Linked DNA regions of Mus musculus. The protein of the gene in region 2 purifies or fractionates together with the protein of the main gene of each other region. This does not show direct contact. Links are inferred from orthologs where the notes say so. Each region holds a gene or a part of one and is shown on either strand. Other genes may lie near its edges. The genes, in order: Mybl2 and Foxm1.

Region 1 (3,816 bases), on a different chromosome or scaffold from region 2:
AGCTGAGCCCTGGGGTTGCAGGCCTGTGGGAGGGAGCAAGGGCAAGCAAGGCCCTTTAGAAATGGGATGGAGACTCCATGCACGCTCCCTGAAACTCTTCAGGGTGCTCAGTATAGAATCTGAAAACACAACATACTTTATCCCAAAGCTGTGACAGAAATCAAGGACACTGCCAGAAGTGAGGAGACCTCTGGGGAATTAGGACGAAGAGACATACACCCCTTTACTCTCTTCCCCCTCTCTTTCCACACCTATGTCATACCCCTACATAGCTGCGTTTGTCAGCAGGGGGCCAAACCCATCTCTAGCAGGTGGAACAAGAAGCCAATCTCCACTAAGCAGTAAGAGGGATATGTTACAATATAGTGTGTATAAATTACTTTGAAACTAAAGAACAAATTAAAGGGTACAAAACAAACTGTGATGGGTCTGTATGTGCTCCGCCCAGAGAGTGGCACATTTAGAAGTGTGTGGTCTTGCTGGGTGTGGTGGCGCACCTTTAATCCCAGCACCTCTTTGGGAGGCAGAGGCAGGCGAATTTCTAAGTTCAAGGCCAGCCTGGTCTACAAAGTGAGTTCCAGGACAGCCAGGACTATATAGAGAAACCCTGTCTTGAAAAAACAAAAAAACAAAAACCACCCCCCCCAAAGTGTGGTCTTGTTGGAGTATGTGTGTCATTGTGGGCGTGGGCTTTAAGACCCTCATCCTAGCTGCTTGGAAGTTAGTATTCTGCTAACAGCCTTCAGATGAAGACTGTAGAACTCCCAGCAACTCCTGAACGGTGCCTGCCTGGATGCTGCCATGTTCCCGCCTTGATAATGGACTGAACCTCTAAACCTGTAAGCCTTACAAATGTTGTCCTATCAGCGTTGCCTTGGTCCTGGTGTCTGTTCATAGCAGTAAAACCCGAACTACGACACAAACACACATGCCACTGACTACCTCAGCTCACAGAAAGCAGAAGGGGACCGTTCACTGTGAAATCTTCCCAGTGTCATCTTTGTTTCCAATCTTACATTTAAAAAAAAAAATCAGTTTCTTGACCTCTTGGTTTAGATTTACATGTAAAACACAAATCACTGCAGACAGTTTACAATGTGATGCCTTCAGCTGGTTGAGTGCTTGCTTGCCTTGCAGGAAGCCCTACGAGACAGCTCTTCTTGGGTGCTCTTCTTGGGTGTCAACTTGACCACATCTGGAATTAACTGAAACCCAAGGAGCTGGGTCCACTCCTGAGGAATTTTTCTTAATTAAATCTTTAAAATAGGAAAAAAATCACTTTTAACCCAGATCTTTTATGGTTGGAAGACCTTCCTTTAACCTGGGCCCCACCTGCTGGCAGCCTCTAGAAGACACGGAAGAAGGAAGCTTGCTTTCTTTGCCAGCTTGCCCTCACTCTGGCTGGCAAGTCCATACCTCCACTGGCATGAGAGCCTACTTCAGAATTCCAGTGTATAATGAAGATCATCTGAGACATTCAGTCTTGTGGACTGAACAACTACCGGATTCTTGGACAAACTGGACCAGAGCTTGCTTGTAAGACATTATAATAAACCTCCATTTTATATGTATAATATGGATTTATATATATTATGCATAAGTACACATACACACATATACATATATATTCAGTTCATAAGCTGTTCCTCTAGACAGCCCTAGTACTGCTACATTTAACCCCCAGCACCAAATAAACTGGGCATGTGCAGTGCATATGCATTTGACCTTACATGGAGAAGACCAGAAGCTGAAGGCTAGCCTCAACTACACAGGAAGTTTGAGCCTGGGTAAAAGACTCTGTCTCCAAAAAAAACCAGGAATGTGTGGCTAGGATGAGGAAAGATGGCTGAGCGGGTGAGTGTTTGTTACCCAAGCCCTACACCCAGGGTTCAATTTCCAGAATCCAAGGTAGGAGAGAACCGACAGCCAAAAGTTTCCCTTTGACCTCTAACACGTGCTCACACTCACACATATACGGACACAAGGGGAAAATGTAGTTGTTTGGGGAGTGGCGATTTAGCACACACACCTATCAGTTTCACTGTTTATAACTGTGTCTTGGTTAGGGTTTTACTGCTGTGAGCAGACACCATGACCAAGGCAAGCCTTATAAAAACGACATTTAATTGGGGCTGGCTTACAGGTTCAGAGGTTCAGTCCATTATCATCAAGGTGGGAGCATGGCAGCATCCAGGCAGGCATGGCGCAGGCAGAGCTGAGAGTTCTATGTCTTCATCCAAAGGCTGCTAGTGGAAGACTGACTTCCAGGCAACTGGGGTGAGAGTCTTAAGCCCACACCCACAGTGACACACCTACTCCAACCAAGTCACACCTATTCCAACAAGGCCACACCTCCAGATGGCGCCACTCCCTGGTCCAAAGATATACATACCATCACAAACTGTGATAGATGGAAAACAGATAGCGTATGGGAGATAGCGGGCCTTAAAATCTGACAGAAAAACACAAAGGATTCTGGGGAGATACTAATGTGGAAATCTTACTTGTCGTGGTTTACGCAGCTAGAAATGCACCAATGTGCTTTTATAGGATTATCCTAATTCAGAATATATGCCAAGATATCTTATGTCTCAATATATTTTTAAAATTAATGCCATTAAAAAAAAAAAGATGGCCAACAAGGAGCTAGACCACTCAGCAATTAACAATATTTACTACTCTTGCAGAGGACCCATGTTCAGTTCCCAGAACCTTCATGGAGCGAACTTCAGTTTCAAGGGATCTGATGTTCTCCTCTGATCTCTGTGGGCTCCTACGTACCCACAGCACACATATACACATGTAATACATAACTCTATAACTGGAAACGTGGGCTGGTGAGATGGCTCAGCAGGTAGAACGAGTGGAAACTCATGGCAGGAGAGAGCCAACTCCTACACATTGGTCTCTGAAGGCAGAACAAACATGGCGGTCCATGTCTTCCTTTAATCCCAGGACCTGGGTGGCAGTCTTAGGCCAACCTGGCCTGCATAGCACATTCCAGGACAGACAGAGCTACATAGAAAGAGCCTGTCTCAAGACACCCCGCCACACACATCACCAAAAAAAGGAAAGAAAATATGAGTCACCATGAATTGTCCTCTGACCTCCACATGGGCAGGTTGACAAGAAGACAGTTGCTGAGGACAGAGGCTGAGAACCCCTCCCCAGCCCGTTCTCAGTTACCCATCATGCTGCTCACTTCGCCTGAAAGAGAACTAGGGTTGATTTGTCACAAGTTAAGTTCTAGAAACGTGCTGGCCACACTCACTCACTCACTCTCAGACCCTAGAGCAGAAATGGGTGGGTGGCTCTGGGGAAGTTCTTGGGGAGATAGGGTCAGATGACCAGGAAACAAAGCAAACCAACCCACAAGCGGCAGCCCAGAGCCAGCTTGTGGAGCCCGGAGCCAGAGCGCAAGACCGCCCAGCACTCACCTGGCCGTCCACCGGCTGGACACCCTGGTGCTGTTCCTTGTCCTCCAGCTCCAGGAGCAAGTAGACAGGCTTGCAGTCCCTGGACTCGGCTGGGAAACCTCCCGTGTCGACTTTCCTTTTGATAGTGGAGTTCCAGTGATTCTTCACAGCATTGTCCGTCCTGTGGGGAAAACCCGGGGCCTCTGACACGCAGCTCTCGGCTGCCGCAGCTTCTCCCCACACCTGAACGTGAAGGGCTGGACACAGGCATCCTCCAGCTGTACAGTGAAGCCTCACTGTTTCCAGCCCTCGAAGGTTTAGTGAATTTCCTCATTAGCTCTATGAAATGAGCAAATGTGGAACTCAAGGCAGGATGGAGAACAAGCTGGACTGACCCAGA
Region 2 (3,816 bases):
GGGGCCACTGGCTCACCGCTCCTTTGCTGTCTCTCATTAGGACACAACCTAAAGCATCATGAGAAACAGACCAGAATGGCCTTGACATTGGCTATGGACAGAGTACCTTCCAGCCTGGCTTGGCAATGTGCTTAAAGTAAGGGAAGTGGTCCTCAATCCAAGTGTAGATGTCCTTCAAGGTCATGCGCTTTCTCTCAGTGCTGTTGATGGCAAACTGTATCATGGCCATATAAGAGTAGGGTGGCCTCTCAGACACAGAGTCCTGCCAAGATGTTGACACTCCTGAGGGCTCCTCAACCTGTAGGGTGAGAGAAGCCAAAGGGAAAGAGAAGAGAGAATGACAGGGAAGTTTACGAGACCCACTCCCCACCCCAGACCCATTGAGAACATCCTCCAGAACTTCCTACCTGACCCTTTAATAGACAGCTCTTCACGTGGTGACCCCGAACCATGAAACTGCCTTCGTTGCTAGTTCATAACTGTACCTTTGCTACTGTGACAGTTCTAATGTAAATATCTGATATTCAGGATACTTAACATGCAACCCCAAAGAGGTCATGACCCACAGGTTGAAAAATCACTGCTCTAGGGGATAACAGAAACAAACTCATTTGAGACCATTATTTTGTAATGGAATTAAAGTTTAATTAGTTTGTCTGGGCCCCAACCAATTAGGAACGGATTCCCTTCCATCCTTTTCCTCAAAGTAAATTGCCTGGGAAGCCTGAGGCTGGGGCATGGCTCAGTCTGATGGGGTGCTTGCCCGATCGATATGCATGAAGGCCTGGGTTTGATCTCCAGCACCACATAAGGAAAAACGGGTCATGGTGGCATATATCTGTACTTTCTGCACTGGAGGAGTTGAGGCAGGACGAGCAAGAGTTTAAGGTCACCCTCAGCTAGTCTTTTCTAAGCTATCCCAGGTTACATAAGATCCTATTTCAAAAGCAAAAACCAAATGAGGTCTCTTCCAGTAGATTCTCTAGCTGGGATCCGCACAATAATTTGTATGAATTTTCAGACTTGCAGGTCAAAGGACTTAGGTCTGAGATCCACATGTAGTCCTGATGAGACGTAAGGCCCACCTTGTCTCAGTGTAGGTATAGAAGAAACTGTCAAAATTGTGGGAAAATGCTTACAAAAGACACACTTGGACGAGTCTTAGACAAAGATCTGATCATTCAGTTTAAAAATTTGAGATATAGTTTTACAAGTCCAGATATATGTTTAAATATATAGTTTAATTAATACAAATAACATTCCTATAGAATTTACTTTGCTATTAATATAACAGTGTATCTCCTAATAAAACTGTTGTGTTAACGATGCTACATTCGATTTGTACTGCTGGGAAGCCACTTTAAAAGTCCAAGTGGCTTCTTTAACCGCGACTCTTCATCATTTCCTGAATATTTACAAAGGGCCACTAAACCCAGTACTAGAGAAATACAAAGCCAGGATTATGCCTTTAATGAACAACGATGGGGAAAGTGAGAGGTCCCAGACAGTAAAGTCACTCAGAAGTCATCGAGGAGGCTGTGGTGGCACATATAATCCTAGTTACTCAGGGGCAGAGGCAGGAGGGCCCAAGCAAGGTCAGTGTTAGCTAGACCCTGCTTCAAAGTAAAACTAAAAAGGGCTGGAAATGTAGCTTAGTAGTACCCTGTCTCACTTGAATCAGGGTTTCTCTGTGTAGCCCTGGCTGTCACGGAGCTCACTCTGCAGACCAGGCCTGCCACTGCCTCCCTTAAAGGCGGGCATCACCACCACCGCCCTGGTGGCACATAGTCTTATGTAGTATTTGGCTTTGGGTTCACTCTCCAATACCTCCAAAAGAACAATATTTAAAAGAAACATTATGATCGGGTAGTGGTGGCGCTCACCTTTAATTCCAGTACTTGGGAGGCAGAGGCAGGTGGATTTCTAAGTTCGAGGCCAGCCTGGTCTACAGAGTGAGTTCCAGGACAGCCAGGGCTACACAGAGAAACCTTGTCTGGAAAAGTCAAAACAAAACAAAGAAACATTACATAGAAAAGCCTTAAGTAGTGCTAACAGAACTTGGATGTTGTTCCAGTAGCTCCTTGCTCCATTTCTTGTCTTAGAAATTCCCTGTTTTAGTTCCGTCTTCCCGAATGAGTGACAGAATAGCTCACCTTAACCCGATTCTGCTCCAGGTGACAATTCTCCTTCTCTTCCAGTTCCTGCTTAACGCTGCAGGGGCCCAGCCCGTCAGAACTCATCTTTCCAAGCCACTGGATATTGGTTAAGCTGTTGTCCAGCGTGCAGCCTGCCGCCTCACCACCAGCTAGAGGGAAAATAACCCAAGGCTCCATTAGCAGCCTCTTCAGATGCCCGGCAGCTCTACCAAAATCAATGGCTGGGAATAACCCCTCTAAGACCTGTACTCTAAGGGACAGGGAACGAATGCATGGTAAATCGTTGTGGCTCTAAGTTATTCTGCTCCACTATGGACTTCAGGAGACATTTATGAATAACAAATTGCCTTTCAATGAGCCAGAAGGGACCGTAGGCATCTGTAAAAGCAAATTTTGGAGAACTACACAAAAAAGTCACTTTTCTTCCCTGGGCTTCAGTTTATTACTTGAAAATGGAAACTCAATTCTTTACAGGAGTGAATAAGAATGGCCCACATAGGGGGGCTGGCGAGATGGCTCAGTGGTTAAGAGCGCCGACTGCTCTTCCGAAGGTCCGGAGTTCAAATCCCAGCAACCACATGGTGGCTCACAACCATCCATAACGAAATCTGATGCCCTCTTCTGGAGTGTCTGAAGACAGCTACAGTGTACTTACATATAATAAAATAAATTTAAAAAAATAAAAAGAATGGCCCACATAGGCACATATTTGAACGCTTAGTCACCAGTGAGTGATATTTAAAGTATGAGAAGTATTAGGGCGTGTGGCATTGTTAGAGGAAGTGCGCCAGTGGGGGTGGGGGCTTTGGGGTTTCAAAAGCCCATGCCAGGCCCAGGGTCTCTCTGCCTCTCTTGGCCCAGATCAGGATGTAACTCTCAGCTACTGCTCCAGTGCCTGCCTGCCTGCCGCCATGCTTCCTACCATGTTGATAATGGACTAAACCTCTGGAAGTGTAAGCAAAAGATGCTTTCTGTTATAAGAGTTGCTTTGGTCATGGTGTGTCTTTAGAGTAACAGAACAGTCACCAAGACACATGTCAACACAAAGAATGAACCAACCAACCAACCAACCCTTTTCCAACATAAAGAGAGCATAGTAATGCTACATTAAGGGGCCAAAAACCAAAAGCCTTCACCTAGAACCTGTCTACCAGACATCAGCATGACTGACTGAAGACCTTTCCAGTGATGAGAGAGGCCAACCTCCATACCCATCTGCCTGGCAGAGCACATACCATAGCTCTCCTGTCTTTGCCTTGGAGGGGCTCCAGGAGGCTTGGGAACAGGCACACCCTTAGCTGCTGGCTTCGGTCCCAACGTCTCCGTGATCACCTCTGCTCTCTTGGAATCCCGGCTGCTGTGGGCTTGAGGCTGGGAAGGGTGAGAGGAGGGCCCCCCAGAGCTGATGAGGATGAACCGGTTGGGCCCGCTGCTGCCGCTCTCCTTCCCTTTGGCAGTTAGCGCTGTGATGATGCTCTGGATATCAGCGTTGCTGGGGATGGCCACCACTTGTGTGTTGGGCGTGGTGGGGTGGTTGATAATCTTGATTCCGGCTGGAAATTTGCAAGAGCTGGACTCTGCCACCTCTTGGGAGGCCTGTGCTGGAGCAGGCTCCGGCTGGGCAGGGGACCTCTTTGCTTCTTCCTCTGATGTTTCACTC

Evidence for each region.
Region 1: the proteins of Foxm1 (region 2) and Mybl2 purify together in Homo sapiens (affinity purification with western blotting; 3 studies listed by BioGRID and IntAct, with this or other methods). This does not show direct contact. The link is inferred for Mus musculus from reciprocal best matches to the Homo sapiens genes FOXM1 and MYBL2.

What each region holds. Positions count from the first base shown.
Region 1 is NC_000068.7:163,067,937-163,071,752, reverse strand, and holds part of Mybl2 (myb-related protein B), read right to left. Parts: intron 3,664-3,816; exon of another isoform or gene 3,598-3,663; coding exon 3,438-3,597; intron 1-3,437. UniProt on the Homo sapiens protein: Transcription factor involved in the regulation of cell survival, proliferation, and differentiation. Transactivates the expression of the CLU gene.
Region 2 is NC_000072.6:128,365,776-128,369,591, reverse strand, and holds part of Foxm1 (forkhead box protein M1), read right to left. Parts: coding exon 3,392-3,816; intron 2,306-3,391; coding exon 2,154-2,305; intron 299-2,153; coding exon 107-298; intron 1-106. UniProt on the Homo sapiens protein: Transcription factor regulating the expression of cell cycle genes essential for DNA replication and mitosis. Plays a role in the control of cell proliferation. Also plays a role in DNA break repair, participating in the DNA damage checkpoint response.